Oryzias latipes: one gene and its partner. The protein of the gene in region 1 binds, or shares a complex with, the protein of each later gene. Links are inferred from orthologs where the notes say so. Each region holds a gene or a part of one and is shown in the gene's direction. Other genes may lie near its edges.

Region 1 (10,327 bases):
CTGCCCGGTACCAAAAGTCATTCATACCCAATGGAATAACCCTGTACAACAACACACAATGCAAAAGATAACCTTTGCACATTTTTTTATTATCTCTTTATTTAGTTGTTTTCTATTTTGAACATTTCTTTTGCAAATCTTTTTACTTGCACTGTTCTGTAAATAGCTTTTTAAATTATAATACCTTGATGTCTGTATTTATGCTACATTTTCTTGTTCTTGCTTTTATTTACTTAATTCTAAGTCTTTTTTCCCTCTGCTGTCAGTTGCTATGGTGACAAACAAATTTCCCACGTGTGGGATCAATAAAGTATCTCTGATTCTGATTCTGATCTTTGAATCATTTAATGAGATTACATCATTTAGTCAAAGATAAACATCGATTACATGAAATACATGTTAAATGGAAAAGGATGACATGCCGTACAATATTCTACAATGAACATCATTTAAATAACGCTTTTGGGGTTGCTATAGGGTTGCTTTGCTAAATCTTGCAGTTACTATGGCAACCCTAGCTACTCCCTGGCACCGCCATGCTTGGTTCCGGTCCAGTGGTTAATGGCAGATTCCCATCAACCAGACTGGATGTCGGCCTCTTCTGCCCTGATCACAGCGTTGGACCACAAGCTCCTCAATCCCCCCACCCCAAGCCCAGTACCACTCAGACATGCCAGCGCTCACCTGTTCCGGACACAGGTGCATGATGGGATACTCGCTGGGGTGTTTCATTTCAGTGTGAAGGTGAATAGGAACCGACACAGGAACCAGATGTCTGCTCCTGTCTGCCTCAGCTCATCAGCAATGGATCTGATGAGAACCAGAACCAGGTCAGAATAGGAACCTAAATGAGCTCAGACTCTAAACCAGCTCAGAACCAGATCCATCTTTGAATCTGAACCAGAGACACACAAAAACAGAGACACAAAAACACGCACGTACACACACAGACTCAGATACTGGTCAGTGTTTTCACCACAAAGGATGAAGAAGAGCTCAGCTCCTCCGCTAGAAGTGTTCCGGATAAACTTATTTTTAGTCACAGCTGACCCCCACCCTCCCCAAAGACATTTATTCCAGCTGTCAGATCAGCAGAGCAAGTCCCGGGAGAGGAAGACTTCCAGAAGCACATCTTCCTCCTCCTCATTCATGTTCATCCAGTCTGGGTAATGGGCACACTTTAGGACACAGAGGAAGAACAGAACATTAAACAGAACTGAAGAATCCAGTTCAACCTGTTTAAACACCATTGAATCTGGTTCAGTTCATTCTGAATTGGTCCAGTTTGTTCACCGTCACCCTGATCAGATAAGCTTCATCATCATCATCTTCATTATCTCCTCTTCTGACCCGCTGCACCGATGTTACAGGCAAACAGGAGGACAGAGGACCCCCATCTGGACCCCCATGTGCACAACACGGCAATGGGGGAACCAGAATCTGGACACTTTATGTACACAAAAGTCACAAACAAAAAGCTGCAACAAAGTCAGCCGAAAAAAAGAGAAAATGAGAAGAAAAACAAACTAAAAAGTATAAAATAGAGAAATGACGACATTCATCCAGAGAAACGATTCAAGTTCCACAGCTCTATAATCAATTATTTTTAAGACATTTCAGAAATTTTTCAAGAAAAAGATTGTTTTTAAAACACAAAAACATTTTGTTTAAAAAAATCATTTATGAATAAAAACATAATTGTTAAAAAATAAACTTAAACGTAGTAGTATGTTTAGGGGATGTCATCTGAACTTGGTTTTAAAGTTAGAAGACGTTTCACTTCTTATCCAAGAGGTTTTGTCAATTCTGAATTAGCTGGTCAAAAAGCTGGTATATATGCGCTCATGGGGGAGGAGTCAGACCTGAAACTGGATGGTATTGTCAACTTAGCCTACATGGTTTAAGGTCGTTAAGAGTCCTTTGTCCTCAGCTGGGGGTTGGGGAGCCAGTGACTCCCTCCCCAAACTGGTCAGCTATTAACGACCCAGGTGGAACTGGTTTGGTTTGTTTGGGTTTCAGAACACTGCCGTAGATGGATGGAAGAATAAACCTGAGACACTAGAGGAGACACGCCCGCTTTAGAAGCCTGGCCGACGGTGGCGAAGCGCGACACAATCTTGGTGAGGTGGACGACGCCCACATGACAATGATTTCTATTGCTTTTAGTGGTGTCTAAGTAGCTTTTATGTACTGTATATATGTTTACATTTATATATATTTATACATATATGTAAATACATTATATTTATACATAATATATAGATATGTCATTTGTTGTTGTTAAAGAAGAGAAACAGTCAGCCTTAAAAGCTCAAACTTGAATGAAAATCCATTGTTGCAGGACTTCTTACTAATAAAAAATTTATTACAAAGAAATTTTAAAAATAATTTCTAAATATTTAGAAGTTTTATACCTCTTTGACATGTAATTTAAATTATTTAGAAAAACCCAACAATAAGTCAATAATAATAATAATAATAATAATAATAATAATAATAATAATAATAATAATAATAATAATAATAATAATTAATAATAATAATAATAATAATAATAATAAATCAATATTAAGTAAATACAAACAATAAATAAATAATAAGTCAATAAATAATGAAAAAAGTATATAATAATAATAATAATAATCATAATAATAAAAATAATAATAATACAATAATAAAATAAATATTCAAAAGAAGTCCAAAAGTAAACAATAGATTTACCCTAAAAAAACAACAAGGAAAAACAATAGATTTACTGATTCATGTTAGTGATCAGTTTGTGTAACACTGATGTTTTGGTGTCAGGTTTCAAGCAAACAGTCTGGCCTCTCATCAAAATCTGTTTCCACAAATGTTTTAAACTTATCCAGACTGTATTACTAGTTGGTACCACAGTGATCCATCTGGGTTAGTTCTTTTGATAGTAAGGCCCACTTTTTCCTGAAGTCTGAATCCATTAGAAACCTGCAAGAAAAGTTCAGTCACTGAGTCAGAAATGTATAAATCTATATTACTATAATAGCCTAGTATGCTGTATACAGGTTTAGCAAAATAAAATGTACATTTATGTCGACAGGAAATTATCCGTACATCATGCAGCATGTTGATAACAGCCCTGCAGCATCATGGATGTCTACATGAGTACGATTAATGTGTGTCTCTTTCGGCTTTTCCCATCAGGGGTCGCCACAGCGAACAAGTCGCATGGTAAACTTGGCAATGTTTTACGCCGGATGCCCTTCCTGACGCAACCTTCTCAAACCGGGCTTGGAACCGGCACAGGGGTAGAGAAGGGAACAGGGAGCAGCCCGGAGTCGAACCCTGGTTTCACGGACGGAAGGCGCCGCAAACCAGCACGAGCTAAACCGGCTCCCGTACATGAGTACGATTAATGAAGCCCCTAAAAAAATCAAAATACTTACCCGTAACATTATATGCCTTCCTCCTTCATGGACTCATTTCTCTGATTTTGGCAGTTGAAACCCAAACAATGAACTGGTATTATGCAAAAAATGTGTTCACATGCACTGCAGTAGTAACTTGACCTCACCAAGATGGCGGTGCTCTCTTCCCATGAGGAACCACGTGATGTCTCCTCTAGTGATAGAACTCATTGGTTCCAACTACCCCTGGCTCCAGCCTGCAGAACTGCACAACATAGTGGAATGCTGAAACGCTGAGGAATGTGAACACGCTGTGGAATGTTAACCCCGCCCACGCTGAGCCCGTCTTCTTTGGTTTCACAAGTTTCCATGTGCAATATTGCCACCTACCAGTTTTTAAGGAGTTTTTCCTTACCGTGAAGGGGGGGTCTAAGGGCAGGAATATCAGTTTAGATTAATCTGTTTTGTTAAGGTTTAGTATTAATCCTAATGCATTCTTTGTGTTCATGATCCCTTTTTCATTGTATGTTTACCTTACAATTACCGGTATGAAGCCCATTGAGACGTCTGTAATTCGAATTGGCGCTAAATAAAAAAACATTTTTTAATTGAATTAGAGAAATTATACAGTGATTGCTGTCTTCTCATGCCTTTTACAAGTTTCCATGTGCATGTATTAGGGAGTTAATAAATTTTGTCTGGCCTCACGGACTCAAAAAAATAACTCATTGGATGAACTCAATTTAATTGTGGGCAGGATTTCCATCCAATAAATATGAGTAACCCCACCTCAAAGAAAATTCTTCCATGTAACGAAATATAATTGAGTTAATCGAACTTAATTTTATCAAGAAAGGCAAAGGAAAAAAACATGCATCAGCAATCAGAAGCCAGCCTCGAACTCAGAACCTCTGGATGTTAAACCCACTAACTAATCCACTGAGCTAACACTTTTGTGATGTTTTCAAGCCGCCTGTAAAAATAAATAGATTTATTATTTACATAAATGAGGCTCGTCGTGTTTCGTCTTATTGGGAGAAGCCGAGTTGAAACGATTTCATGGCACAGTTTCGTTTTTTTACGTGGAAAAAACGAACGAAAGTTTTCACTTTTGAAAAGTCAAAGGATTTGAAGGACCAAAAGTCAAACCAGGCATTAGACGAAGGAGTTGAACATTTTAATAGTTGAATAGTTAAAATAGGTGAAAAATTGTTGCCGTAAGACGGCAAAAAGAATAAATAAAGAGAAACAGGAAAACAGCATTCAACAGCATGCCCCTTACTTGAACTCAATTATTCTGGATTACTGGAGTTGTCGGGGAAATTATTAATACATTTTGTGTTAGGTCAATTAAATGTAGATAAATTCTTTTAAAATAAATATTTTTAAATAAAACAAACACAATTATATTGTGTTACATGAAAGAGGGGCTTGAATCATTTTTTTGAGTGATAAAAAAACATTGCACCATTCAAATTTTCTTCCCCTCTGTCCTCTTTCTTCCTCATTCAATTCACAATGACACAAAATGTGCTCCACTTATTCTTCCCCTTTCCTGCAATCACAACTGCACTGATGAAGGTGAATCAAATGCACGGGCTCAACGTGGGCGGGGTTAACATTCCACAGCGTGTTCACATTCCTCAGCGTTCCAGCATTCCACTACGTTGAGCCATTCTGCAGGCTGCAGACAATTCTGCAGGCTGCAGCCTGGGCTTACTCGGTGGTTCTGCTGGTTCTGACCTGATTGATGTAAACACGTCAACCCGTTTAACAACTGGAATCTGTCAACAGTTCAACTTTATTCACAGCTTCTGCTACAGGTTTATTTCACTGAATATTACAGGAAAAGGTCCGTTTGACTGCGTTTGAGCTGATCCGAAATCATTCCCGGTGCAGTACCGCCCCGCGGCCACAGGGGCAGCAGACACCAAACAAGAGCGACGAATAAGAACTTCCGGCCGCGCGGGTAATTTGAGTGGAAACAGGCGCGAGCGTTAAGTCCGGTCAATTCCTTTGCTTAACCTTCCCTGTGGGCGCGTGCGTCTCCACAGGTGTTTTGGTGACGGACGTCTGACTGCTTTCCCGCTCTGCTGGAGAACTGCCCTCTTTGCAGGTAGACTTTCCACTTTTCATTCCCGGAGTTTAGAAGGTCGACAGTGACGTGAGGACACCGACCGACAGTCAGTGCAGACTAGAGAACAGAGTTGTTAGTGTTCAGGTGTTTTCATGAGACGTTCGGGGTTTTTTATGAGACGTTCGGGTGTTTCTCTGAGACGTTCAGTTGTTTTCGTGAGACGTTCGGGTGTTTCTCTGAGACGTTCAGGCGTTTTCGTGCGACGTTCAGGCGTTTTCGTGCGACGTTCAGGCGTTTCTCTGAGATGTTCAGGCGTTTCTCTGAGATGTTCAGGCGTTTTCGTGAGACGTTCAGGCGTTTTCGTGCGACGTTCAGGCGTTTTCGTGCGACGTTCAGGCGTTTCTCTGAGATGTTCAGGCGTTTTCGTGAGACGTTCAGACACACACTGGAGTCTTTGGTCGCCTCCACTCTTCTGGGTCCAGAATGGAGGTTCTGGGTTGGTGGTTTATCCGTGGCCCAAACGCCCTTCAGTGTTTGTCCCGGTTCCCTCCTGCAGATCCGACCCGTTCTTTGAGTTCTCCAGAGTCTGGAGGGGGCGGAGTCATCATGGAGTCCACAGAGAGCCGCTTTGCTCACCTGCTGCAGCCCATCAGAGAACTGACCAAGAACTGGGATGTGGACGTGGCGTCCCAGCTTAACGACTACCTGGACGAGGTAAGACGGAGACGAGCGCCACCTGTTTGGGGGGGGCTCAGAAGAACCCCAGCTTCTCTGACGTAAACTGAAGCTGACCAAGAACCAGGTAGCCACACCTGCTGGAGCTTTATTCAGAATCACCTGGACTCCCAGCAGCTGAGTTAGATGAACCTGAAACAGATTTAGATGACCTTCATCATGAAAACACTGGTTTCACTGAAGGAGGCGGAGTGCAGCTTGACTCTGATTGGCTGCTGTGATCATGTGATGCCCCCCTCCCCACAGTGGCTCCCCCTCTGTGAAGGTAACACGTTAACTTCCCTGTGTGTCTGCAGCTGGATGAGATGTGCATCACCTTCGACGGAGGAAAAACCCGACTGAACTTCGCTGAAGCTGCTTTGCTTATTCAGGGCTCGGCCTGCATCTACAGCAAGAAGGTGGGCGCAGTCATGTGACGGGTCATGTGACCCAAATGGACCACTGATGGAGCCTCTCTGACCATTGCAGGTGGAGCTGCTGCATCATCTGGTTTTTCAGACGCTGGAGTTCATCAGTGAAAAAAACAAGAAGTCAGTTCTGCTTAAGCAGTTTTGCCGCCATGTTGTCCAGGGCCTCACTGTTCTTCTGCCCGTGTCCACCGATGTCCACCTGACAGGCGGAGCCAGGAGGCGGAGACTGAGAAGAGCGGCGGAAGCAGAATGACGAGCAACAGGGACGATGATGGCCAGGATATGGTAAGAAAAGTCACTTCCTGTTTAATCCCTGTTTTGTTGATTGCCTACTCCTGGCAGCTGCTGCAAAGCATGTTGGGTAACATGAGATGTTTTTGTCTACATCAGTTCAGCCCTCTGGACCTGGATCAGTCACAGAACTGGCATCAGTCTGGTCTGAGTACGGTGAGGAAGCTTCCTATCCATGGGCGAGCTGGGGTTCAACTTCCTGTCTGGCAGGAAGCAGGTTTTTTTTTTCCTCAAATGAACTTTATTAACAAATATTGCACATTCAAAATATCAAACATTGACACTGTACAAAACTCAAAATGTTCACATTTGCCAGGAAAATGAACAAAAAGCCATAATAAAAACAGGCAGAAAACACTAAAACAGAAATAAAGTCTCAACAGTGACCATGTTTCCACTGTTCCAACAGCTATTGACACACAGAATCATTTCTTTAGGAAAATACGTTTTTTTTGTTAGCATATTTACACGTATGAATGGAATATTTGACCATAACTATAAGTAAGTTAACTATCTATGTTTTCTCTGCATTAAATCTCCCTCGTGTAAAATATCCAGAAATATGTTCATAGAATCATTTATAGTTTCACGGGGTTTGTTCTAAAATGAGTCAAATCTTTCCAAAATGTTGGAGTGAAAGAGCAAAACTGATGAGGCACAGTTTCTGGTGAGGAACGATAACATGAGCAGTTTATGTCCAGTTCTTTTTTAAATTCCAGGAAGAATATTCCAGATAGCATGATTAAACTTCCCTGACTTTAAGCCTGAACTCTGGCTGAAATCCACCCGAACTTGCTTACTCTGGGTATGTCGGTTCCAAAAGACCGGATATGAGTTAACGTAATCACGCTCCACTTGGTAACCCTGGGTTAATGCACGTGCACAGCAGGTACATAAAGACATTCTCAATGGATCGCCGCTTTCTGGAGTCACCATGGAAACACGTGGAAAAAAAGAAAGCGCTATACTTCAGTGAGACGGAGTCTGAGATTTTAATGACGCCGTATGAAGATTATACGTCCATCAAAAAAGTAACACGGCTGCATCATCAGCAAAAGAGAGTTTCTGCTTGGAGACAAAGAACAAAGTAAACGCACGAGTTTCTGATCTTATTTCCATTTTCTTTGTGACGCAGAAATATATATATATATATAACTTATCCAATTTTGCCAACTTAAATGAATTACTTCTATTGGTAACAAATAATTGAGTTAAAATTATTCAACGTAATTTCTTACGTCTATAAAACTCAATAATTGTTTATGCAACTCAAATTTACGTATTTATCTAACTAAATGTCATATTACTCCAATTCAATTAATATTTTTTCCATCTTAATTATATTTCTTGAACTCTCAAATGTCTAAGTTTGAGCCGGCAGATATTCTCATTTGTATAACAATAAAAAGGACGAAACAAAATGCACAAAGTGTATAAATTGATTAAATAATCAATAATCCTCTCCCTCCCTCTCACTCATGGTGCAGAGACGTAAGCAAAGTAGGACAAAATAACTCGACAAAACACAGTAAAACAGCTAAACAACTAAACACATTTGGTCACAAAGCCACACTTAAATCCAAATCCGTCCAGACAGGCAAAGGGAATGGTATCCCACAATCCTTTGCGGTGCCGATCTAACAGCACCTACTTAATTGAATTAATTTGAATGAAAGTAAAACAACTGTCTGAAAACTACGTTTTATTTTTAATCTAACTTAACAAAAAAAATGATTTATCTTAACTGAAGCAAATAATGAAGTTAGATCAAAGTATAAAGTTTCTCTTTCCAACATCCATATGTGGTCTTATCACTCTCTCATGGTGGAAAAAGTATTATCTGAGCTTCTTCATCCACTAAATCATCTTCAAATGGACACGCCATGCTGCTTCACCTCTCTGAAAACAAACTAACCTTCAACTAAACCTGCTCCAGACCAGGTTATGTTCAGAGCATGAGTTGCTATGGCAACTTGACCTACCCTGAAACATACCTCCATTTCTGGAACCGAAAGCTGAGGTTATCAACTTCCTTAGCCTCAAACTTACCGTGGGAGCTAGCAGAACCTGCTTCCTGGAATACCCCCCCCGGTGTCTTCAGAAAAGAGGCCGCGGCGTTACCTGTTAGGAGGTACACAGGTGTTACCTGTTAGGAGGTACACAGGTGTTACCTGTTAGGAGGTACACAGGTGTTACCTGTTGCGAGGTACACAGGTGTTACCTGTTGCGAGGTACACAGGTGTTACCTGTTGCGAGGTACACAGGTGTTGCCTGTTGGGAGGTACACAGGTGTTGCCTGTTGGGAGGTACACAGGTGTTGCCTGTTGGGAGGTACACAGGTGTTGCCTGTTGGGAGGTACACAGGTGTTGCCTGTTGGGAGGTACACAGGTGTTGCCTGTTGGGAGGTACACAGGTGTTGCCTGTTGGGAGGTACACAGGTGTTGCCTGTTGGGAGGTACACAGGTGTTGCCTGTTGGGAGGTACACAGGCCGTAAGCGTGTGATTGCTGTCATGTGACCCTCAGACCGTGGTCGTCACTCCTCTTCCTCCCGAGTCTCTGATTCCTCCAGAAAGCCAGGAGAAGCAGAAGCTGCCCCTCATCAGGTGGGTGGAGCGGCAGGGTCTGACCCGCCGGGCCGTGCGCTCTGCTCACAGCCGTCTCTTCGTGTGTCAGTGTGAAGGGGGAGGTGCTGTGCAGCCAGAGGGACTTTCGGATTAACCTGTTCTTCCCGGGGGAGGGGGGCGTGGTCTTACTGAGGCTGCGCTCTGCGCTGGAGCTGGACCTGCATCCCGCCAACTTCTTGCATCAGGATTCCTCTGTTGATGCCTCCATGGGTGCAGACGTGCCCCCTGAGGCAGGAGAAGACTGCCGTCCAGAAGACAGAAGTGACCAGGACCCAGAGCAGCATGTGGACCGGCACCAGGTCTCATCAGAACAGCACAGGTGCTCCACCTGGACGGTCCAGAACCTGAACTTGTTGTGGCTGTGTTGCAGGCTGGGAGCGGCGTCCGAGAGAAACGGCAGATCTTTGCTGAGGAAAGACCCCAGCAGGATGCCCCGCCTCCAGTAGGTCACCTGATTCCACAGACCACTTGTCTGTTCTTCATCCTGCAGATGTGCAGTCCCATCTCCTCTGCCTCGTTTCTGTCAGCCTTCAGGTGAAGGTGTCAGGTGCAGACCGGGCTGTAAGCCGGTCCTCCCGTTTTAGTCAGAGGCGTTTGTAGGACGTCTTTCTTCGTTCTCAGGACTTTCTGAAACGCTTCTCCACAAGTAAACGTCTACCTGAAGGTCTCTCTGTTCCAGGTGAACGTCTGGACGCTCCACGACCCCTACGCTGTCCTCGCCCACGACAAGCCCTTCAGGATGGGTCAGTCAAGGCCGTTCCTCAGCTGGGTGTCACTACACAAAGTTGTGTCCACTCACAGTTGT
Region 2 (8,906 bases), on another chromosome or scaffold:
TACACATCAGCCAAGTTTGGAAATGTTATGTCCAAGTATTTCCAGGCTTTTGAGGTATTTCTTCTGCAGTGTTTTGTTTTGTATACTTTTTAATGAGATGAGTGTTGATCACACTTGACTGTTTTTCAGGATGAGCGAGCCACAGCTCCTCTGATCAAACTGGCATCATTTCTGCCTCCAGCTGCAGTTCCAACATTTAGGTGAGCCTCAGAAGAATTCTATATGGTACTTTTTTGGGTTTTTTTTGGCTTCACTTGTCTTTTTTTTTCTCTGTCTAGCTGTGGAGTCCTGTCAAGACTCAGGAAGATGGAGTCTGGAGTGGCTCCGGAACAGTACAGCCAGCTGCTGGACTGTATCTGCAGCTGGGGACAGGCTGCTGATGTCCTTGAACTGATCACTGACTGGCTCAGCGCATCTCTTCCCAAGCAAGCGGTCAGTCACTAAAGTCATCCTGCAGGTTTGGTTTTGACTCGAGAGCTTTTTTGGTAAAACAATAAAACAACTTATCAACATCAGGGAAAGGAGGGTTCTCGCAGAAAGGTTCGTATTCAAGAAAGTGTGGAGGCCAAACCAGACCTGGCTCTAGCATACCTGGAGGACCTTTTCAGCCACACGCCAACCCGAGATAAAGTCCTTGCTCTTGGTGAAAAACCTCTGAAGCAGCTCCACACAGTGCTGGGCAGTTGGAAGGTATCATCGATAGATTTTCTATCCATTTAGCTTTGTCTTTGCTCTTGTGTCGTCAGCTTAATCTGTGTTTTCTCAATGCAGTCAGTGTTGTACAGTCACCTCAGCTCCACCACAGAAATCCCAGAGTGTCCCAGCACGGAGACGGCACTGAAAGCGTTTATGTTCCACGGTCGCCTTGGTGCTCATTTACAACATAACGTATGTTTGATTTTTTTAAATATTTTTTATAACTTGAATTTTTTCAATCTGAACCAACTTGATCATGGATATGCAATCTTTTAGCACCTTCCTTCTACTTTATGAACAAGTTTAGCTTTTTAGTTTACTGAAAAGGTAATTACAGGTGGGAACTGATCTCAGTAAAAATAAGAATATTGGCAAAAAGAATAATTTTCATGAAGACAAAGCCGCACTCAAAGCTCCAGACTGTAAATATTTCAACAATTCTTTGAATCTGCGTGACTAAATTTACCAGCATGACTTGGAGATCTGACCCGTGCTTTTATTTTTATCTCGTATCTCATAAAACGCAGCAGGAGAGGGAGAATTTGGTGTTTCCAGCGAGTCAGAAAGAAACGATAGCGAGTGCTGTCAACCTTCATCTCAACAGCAGGGGAGAAGAACAACAGCATGCAGACTGTCATCTCATGTCTGCTCATGGAAAAAAAAAATCCTTTTTCTCTCTCTGTGTTTCAGAAGAAAACAATCCTTTTGCGACAAAACTGCTTAAAATTTGTTATGCTTATAATAAACGATCAGATTTCAGATTGTGAGGAAGATTTAGTTCTTTAATGGGGAAAGCAATCAAATAGTTATCATTAGGGGGAAATAAATGACATCCAGTCAATATTACTGGGTAATGAAACAACATTTTTAAAAGATAAGTTGCAGCTTACTATGAATTATAAATAAAATAGTTTTGAAATCATTTAAAATAACTAGTATTTTCAAAACAGGTAACACATAGGGGTGCAATGATTCATTTTAACGATTCAATTCCTATAATTTGGGGTTGCTGATATGATTTATAGTCGATAATGGTTCATTTTCAACAATCCAATTCATGAACCTAATCCTGTTTCGAAACTTCAACCGGTGTGACTCAGAGATAAATACCTGCAGCTGAACACTGCAGCTGACGTTTTCCACATTCCTGGCATTTCTTGCAAGATAGTCAAGTGTACGGTAAATTGAATATGTGTACAAACAAGCAAGTAAACAAGACTTAATGGCAAATCCGTTCACATTTTGCCTTTCTAAAGTTCAGCCCACTGTTCTTTTCCACACCAAAATAATACGAACTATTGGAACATTCAAAGTGTTTCCACACACTGAACTGGATTGATGGACTGATATGTTTTTTTGCTGTCATCACGTATGTTGTCCGCTGTGATGTCACTTTGTAGTTTTTGCATTATAGTGAAATAAAACTACAGTGTTTCAATCCGGATTGTATTTTCCAATATCAATTATAATGTATAATTTTTAATTTTGAAGTAATTGTATAGTTCTCTTCAATTAATAATTTATCCCAGACAGATCGACCTGTTTGGATCGTAAGAGTATAAATCAATGAAGTCGATTAATTGTTACACCTCTAGTTAGGCAAACAAATGTGTCCAAAAATCGACATAACAATTAACTAAATGAAAGTGTAGACCTTGTTGCTTTAAAGCAAATACTTTATTAGAACTAATTTTCTTTTATTTTGGTAAATAAAGTGAAAAACGTTTCTTTTTAGTGGTGAGTAAAAGGAATAAAAGCTTTTGCTGCTTTGACATGTTCTGTTTGTACGTCTAAATGTTGACGTCGTAAACATTTATACTCCTGTTAAAAACGTATCTTTATCTCTTGTGCGTGCTGAAGATAATGTGCAGATTTATAAATAACAAAAACAATATTAGTAAAAGAATAATTCTTCTCTCGTTTCCTTTCTTCAACACCTTCTGGAGCAGTTTCGACTTCACACATTTCACCAGCTGACTGCTTTAACAGCCAGTTTCTTCCTGGCCAGGAGCCTGTTCCTTCTGCTTAGCTGTAAAAAAAGTTACTGTCGAAAATAAACCGAAGGCTTTTGCTTTATTTCCTAGCTGACAGAAGGCCGGGAGTACCTGCTCTCCCTGGAGCATGTGGCAGTCTGGGTAGCAGACAGGGTGCTGCCCTTTCTGACTAAACAAACCGGCAGCAACCAGGAGGAATCAGACAAGTCACAGTTGCTGGCTGCTCAAATAATTGAGGTAACATCTGCTTTTCCTTAATTTTATACACAGCTGGACAATATTTAGAAGGGATTTTAGTGTTGATCTTTTCCAGATTAATGCAGAAAATGTAGCCTGTTTGCCAAGAATCAAGTGTTTTTATCTGTCAAGCGGAGAAAATGTCTCACAACGAGATATGAGGCTGTGTTTGTGTCACTCAGGGGTGTGGTCTTAGCTCGCATAAGCAAATGTGTCATGTGTGCGTACGAGCAGCCATGTCTTTCCCCTCAGAATCACACCAGCGGGAGGCCTATCGCTTTAATAAACGCCTGTTCGCTTTCCGTCTACGACAGTCGGAGGCTTTTGCAATCCGTGCAGCTCCAGTTTTTTTTTTCTCCTTTTCATAAAGAAAGAGTGAAATGCGGATAAACGCCGGCGCATTTTAGCAAGGTTATTTATGCAGATTATTGTCAAACCCTGTGATGTGATTTCCCAGCAGGCAGATTCAATCAAATGCTTTTGTTCCTACAACTTCTGGCTTCTTCCTTTCAGAGCAGCACATTTCCCCTGCAGATAAAAACAGTTTTTAGTACAGAATTTTGTCTTTTTAACCTCCTCCTTCCACATCTTGCAGTTCTGCTGAGTGAATTTTGTCTCGTTCTGCTTCTGTCCCCACTCACCATGTACAAAACTCTCCGTTTTATTTCTTATTCTTTGCCATTTCTTAGTTCACTGTTTCTCCAGTCTGACTGATATCAAAAGTGTTTCTAACGTCTAACATTTGTACATTTTTTCCAGAGCTTCTTAACCGTGTGTTGTGATGTTATTCTTGTGGATTTGGGCGATGAGAAGTTCTACAGTGAAATCCTCCACCTGTGCTCAGTCCTCCTCCTCTCAGGTGAGGGTTTTAAAAGTGCCTGTTCGGGGTCAGAACTCTTCCATATAATCTGGTGAACCGTTGTGCTTTGATGAAAATGGGAAAAAAGAAAAACCTCTTTCCACGCGTGCAGAGGGAGGCTATCGATGCATCCCTGCTGTGCTGCTGATTCTAAAGGAGGTGGCAAACAGTAAAGTACCCGAGGACAACAACCAGAATCAGGAGAGCAAGGAGGATCCAACTGCTGTCATTCTGGGGGTGGTGGCCAATATTTTCCAGAAGATAATCGAGGTTTTGGCAAAGAGGCTTCGAAAGGATCCAGAGGGGGGAAAACAGGCATGTTGTCCTCTTTACTCTCTTTTGTGAAGGCGTTACATTTCTTTGAGGTTGCTGTTCTTCGTGTCTCCTGGTTCAGCTGTGTCTGTCAGTCGTCGCGGGTATGAGAGACTTCCTCCAAGTGGCACAAACCTGGGACAGAGAACCTCTCAGTGGAGTCCTCTCTACCATTTTTGCCATCATCATTGTGGAGAAGAGACGTGTTCTCCAAAAGGTTTGAGATGACTCGGCTAAAATAAAAAAGTGTAATTGAAGTTAATGAGAGAAATGCCTCTTCTAAGCTTTTAGTATTTGGATTTTTATCAGATTGCTCATCCAGAGGAAGTGATCGCCCCACAGTCAGTAGATGAGATGCCTCCTTTGTCCAGCACATTGCTGTCGGTCATTCTGAAGTCACCACAGATTACAAAGTATGGCCTTAAAAGTATTTTAAAACATTCATGAAAAACATGTCATAGATGCTGAAATGCTTTCTTTCTTCTCTTAGGTCATTTCTGACAGAGGTGGGCTCATCTTTGGACTCTGAAGCCATAAGCAGCCTCTCTGAGCTGGCTGCCGTTCTGCGTGTTTTAGCAGTTATCAAGGGGGGTGGGTTGAGTCACCAGAATATTTATTTTAAAATCAAGCTCATGTTAAAGAAAATCTATATAAATATATGTATAAATGTTGTGTTTGTCCATCTTTAGCCAAAGGTTCTGAAGCTGGGCTGAAGAGTGCAGCGGTATCCATCCAGCAGCAGATCCACAAATACGCCATCTCTGATGAAGACGATGGAGAAATCCAGAGGTGAGAAACAGGAAAAAAGCATCTTTTTCGTACTGGTAATTCTTCATTTGACTAATTTCACTCCCTTTGTTGCTTCAGGGCCATCTATGAATCTTCAGTGAAGACTTTGAATGAGATCCTGCATTTATAACATCAATTTGTTGCCATGGTGAACAGGAAGCTATTTCCTCATTTTTCATATTTGTGTCGTAATTAGAAGCAAAGAAATCACAATATTGGATGAACTTGACGGAAAACAAGCATATAATGTTCCAGTTTCTCTAAATGGATTTTTAAATATATACTAAAGCTTTTGTATTTCCTTCTTTTCTCTGTTTACTTCCCTCCTCACAGTGCGCATGTCTTATTTTGTCAAAGCAAAAAGCTTTGACAATGTTTAAAAACATGGTGACTTAAATGAACAGAATTGTTGTCTGTTTTTTTCCACGATCCTAATTTACATGTTTTCTTGTAAATCAAAACATCACTGCATGTTTTTATATCTAGTTTTTAATCATTACAAACTATAAATCAATATAAGTAAGATGTGTCTGTTGGGTAACTATCACAGCTTTCACCCCTATAGAGGAATATTTTTTATCTCATTATGCAAAAATGCTTATATGAACTACATGATTCAAATTTTATAGATTATTTAGGTTTGTTTGAGTGTTTTGGAGGTCAAAGCTTAGAAATATGTTCTAAATTATATTTTATTTTCCATAAATGGTGTATTCAATTTTCAGGTGCTGATAGTGCACATCTCTGTTCAGTAAATAAAGCAAACTCACAACACCATTGTCATGCCTGTAACAAGTATAGTAATCAGGTGTTTTTTTTTAGGTTTCTTTTGGCGTGGTGCGTTCACGCCTCCCGGTAAAAACCATTCAGAGCGCTCTCCTCATCTCATGTGTCTGTTTGACGTCAGTAACCTGGGCGGGGCTCCTCTGTGAGGCTGGTTGCTGTTTGTGGTGCTGAAACAACGTCGGTGTTGTTACCCCTCAACATACCTTTAAAAAAATGCCAATTTAAGACCCCCCAGACCGAGCAGCAGACCCCCGCGTGCGTCCAAACATGCCGTTTTAGCGAGCCATGGATTCGGGTTCGGCTTCTTGAGCAGGAGCGGCATGGATTCGCGGTGGTGTCCCATCTTCTTCACTGCATTGGCTGTAAGCCTCTGCCCCTCATCTGCCCTCGCCGATAGAAAATTCGGTAAGTAAATATTACATCTATTTTTTTCTATTATTTGTTGTTTTTTGATCCAAATAGTGTTGCGGGTTCGTTTCAGCCTCTGTCCATGGTGCTGAATCCTTCAAACAGTCTCTTATAATGCATGACTGGATTAAAACATGTAGTCTCTGGACAAAAGTTCAGATGAGTCCCACGTGAATTGAAACATTTAGTTTTAAGCCGATGAAAGTTGAGAACTCGAGGTTTCCTGTAGTGATAAAAAAAAGATCTATCAGACAAAGTTACGTAATCTTTCAGGCTCTTACGCACAAAGTGTTTCTTCCAATACTTTTTTTTAAACGTGCTATACAACAAATATGACTTTATTTAACAATAACCAGTGAATGAAATGCGCACAAATTACTTTTAACTGCTTTGTAACAAAATTACAGTGTCATGTAAAGAAAGTGTGACATTTCAGGAACCTTTGTTGGTTCCACCTGTAATGTTTTAAATGCAGGAAAAACATGAATGACCACTTTGGTACATAGAGGGATGGAAATCCACCTCACAGCTTTGGTCTGCCAGTTGAAATCCGGTTTCCCACCGTTTCACTGTGAATGTAGCACTTCTTTAGCACCTTCTGGTCTACAGTCAGCAGCCAGAACACTACAGCACAAACTTTATTATGAGCCAGAGGCAAATATAGATTTCCGGCTGACTGATGATTCATACAGCTACTGAGCTCCATACCGTCCTGTATATTTAGAACAGGAGAATATTTAATTCCTTTCTTTCAATCTTTATTGTTTTTTGATCACAGATTTAGACATTAGTCATCAGTAAGAGATTGGTCTTCTTCCCTGAATTTTTTTTCTCCTTAAACCATCACATTTTGTTTCTCTAATTGTCTTAAATATTAAGGTTTCAATTGTCAATGCACTTCTAAAGAAGAGACGATTTTATTTTTATTTTTTTTATTTATTTTTGGTAATGAGTCCCACTAAGAATTATCACAACCCATTTGAAAATTTTAAATCTCATTGTTCTGGTTCAATAAAGGTATGTATCCGAGGAAACACTGCTGTAGACATTTATACTGGCTGTGAGTTTAATGTTAGACAAGGTTAAAATTTCTGCAGTTGCAGCGTCTCCTGCAATAATGTTTGGAAAAAAAAGTAGCTTCAACAAATTTGTTTTAGGCAACATCCAGTCAGTCATTCATCCATTCAAACATGGTTGCAGTTCAAATCGACCCACTTAAACTGATTTAACAAGCCTTTACAAGGTCTTTGGATGCCAACATGGCCGCCGCTGGCCAAGTATATGCGTTTTTGGACCGTTTTCTGAAAACACTACAGATCAGGGGTGACAGACTTCAGAGCTCACAAGCCATTGACCCGTTTCATTTCCAACTGCTCCATCCCTTTCAGCATCTTACCGGCAGAACACCTGATCCATATAATTTGAATTACTCAGGATGGGGGTAACTGGATAAAACCAGCAGGACATAGTCCCTCATAGCAACCTTTGATATTTGTAGTGTCTAAATTTAAAGAGTATTTTTCAGTTTTGTACAAAGGCTATAAAAACATACATTTTGGTGCCCTAACTTTCCTATCCAACGATATTGAGCGAAGAGAGAAGAAAAAATAAAAATAGTATGTGGCGGCTTTGTTGGTGGCCTATTGGATGTTTGGCTTTAAGGCATAAACACGTGTCACAATAATTAAACTGCTAGATTTTGAAACTGGAGTGTGAGTCTTCCTGTAGAGACTATTTAAAATTGGCTGAAACAGAAGAAATGAAAAGAAATTGTATTATTTTGTTGTATTCAACTGCAGTTAATATAATTTGGCAAATGTGGAAAATATTTTGAAAACATTTCTTCACAACCATAAATAGGCCAATTTTGATTTTATTTGAAGATATTAAATCCAAAATGCCTTTACTCCTTTCAAAGCATTTAAAGAGCCAGGTGCTTCCAATCCCCCCTTGATTTCTGATTCATTAACAGGTGGGATCACCTGCCTAAAAGCAAGTGTTTGATTATCTGGAGCTTGAAGTCAACTTTAAGAATTGGATGCTGATGTGAGCTTTTCCCAAAAGATTTGACTTCTTGTGAGAAGGTAAAAATGCTGTGAATAAGGAACCCCTTAAGTTACTCATTGTTTTTTTAGAAAGTTGAAAAATATAAATATTTCCTTACTTGAGAAAAATTCAATTTAATGTGGAACTGGAATGTCTTCAAAATAATGCCTGGATAAGGATGGGCTGTTGGTTCACCCTTTTCTAACTTAACACTGAGTTGGTAGTGTCATACAATACCTCTCCACCTAGAAAAAAAAGCAAGAAATTAATATTTTCTTAGATTCTAATTTCTTTCAAGAGACATTTTGTTCAGTTATTTGTTTAGGATCAAATGGACATTGTGCGTTGGGGTTTTATCTTTCCTGCAGCTGGAGGCTGTCAGTTTTCCATTAGTGCAAAGAGTGAGTCATTTTAATAAAGGATCAAGGCTAGCAGAAACCAGAAAAACCAGCCTATTCACATTTCAATTTGCCAGCCCTTGAAAAGATGCTGCGTCACTTTTGATGACGACATTCTGTTCTCCTGACGCACCAGTCATCTCTCTCCCTGAGAGGCGCTGTAGGTAAATCACAAATCAGTGATAAATAATTGAGAGAATCCCAATGCAACCAACCAGCATCTGGGCTCCTTTGATCCCCTGAGCTAACTTTAAAAAAAAAAAATTGAGCAAACATCATTTGATTTTAATCATGTGACCTGTTATAGCATTTTTTTTTTCAAGGAAATGCAGTTTGTTAAGGATTGGCAGCCATCCCTGTAAGCCTTTATTTAAAGGTTAC

What was found.
Region 2: the proteins of ncaph2 (region 1) and ncapg2 are in contact, whole or in part, in a cryo-EM structure (PDB 9F5W), measured with the Homo sapiens proteins. The link is inferred for Oryzias latipes from reciprocal best matches to the Homo sapiens genes NCAPH2 and NCAPG2. Residues at the interface, in NP_689512.2 of Homo sapiens: Pro316, Trp317, Gln318, Ser319, Leu320, Pro322, Phe323, Asp324, Ser325, Leu326, Glu327, Ser328, Lys329, Pro330, Phe331, Lys332, Lys333, Gly334, Arg335, Pro336, Tyr337, Ser338, Val339, Glu344, Gln360, Asp361, Phe362, Gln364, Trp365, Tyr366; in NP_001268861.1 of Homo sapiens: Lys248, Leu251, Gln252, His292, Ile294, His295, Leu296, Pro297, Arg299, Ser300, Val302, Lys340, Ala341, Arg342, Asn343, Ser344, Glu345, Val346, Pro388, Tyr389, Pro390, Arg393, Gly425, Glu426, Ala428, Phe429, Asp430, Thr431, Ser432, Arg437.

What each region holds. Positions count from the first base shown.
Region 1 is NC_019881.2:24,033,946-24,044,272, reverse strand, and holds the start of ncaph2 (condensin-2 complex subunit H2), read left to right. Parts: upstream 1-5,248; 5' UTR 5,249-5,499; intron 5,500-6,016; 5' UTR 6,017-6,066; coding exon 6,067-6,174; intron 6,175-6,491; coding exon 6,492-6,593; intron 6,594-6,663; coding exon 6,664-6,725; intron 6,726-6,811; coding exon 6,812-6,890; intron 6,891-6,995; coding exon 6,996-7,052; intron 7,053-9,421; coding exon 9,422-9,501; intron 9,502-9,571; coding exon 9,572-9,821; intron 9,822-9,892; coding exon 9,893-9,964; intron 9,965-10,201; coding exon 10,202-10,265; intron 10,266-10,327. UniProt on the Homo sapiens protein: Regulatory subunit of the condensin-2 complex, a complex that seems to provide chromosomes with an additional level of organization and rigidity and in establishing mitotic chromosome architecture.
Region 2 is NC_019878.2:19,842,956-19,851,861, reverse strand, and holds the end of ncapg2 (condensin-2 complex subunit G2), read left to right. Parts: coding exon 1-54; intron 55-129; coding exon 130-200; intron 201-278; coding exon 279-432; intron 433-516; coding exon 517-690; intron 691-771; coding exon 772-888; intron 889-2,780; coding exon 2,781-2,927; intron 2,928-3,686; coding exon 3,687-3,786; intron 3,787-3,898; coding exon 3,899-4,101; intron 4,102-4,180; coding exon 4,181-4,315; intron 4,316-4,407; coding exon 4,408-4,511; intron 4,512-4,588; coding exon 4,589-4,689; intron 4,690-4,787; coding exon 4,788-4,887; intron 4,888-4,965; coding exon 4,966-5,017; 3' UTR 5,018-5,285; downstream 5,286-8,906. Other genes in the region: ptprn2 (receptor-type tyrosine-protein phosphatase N2), read left to right, coding at 5,994-6,078. UniProt on the Homo sapiens protein: Regulatory subunit of the condensin-2 complex, a complex which establishes mitotic chromosome architecture and is involved in physical rigidity of the chromatid axis.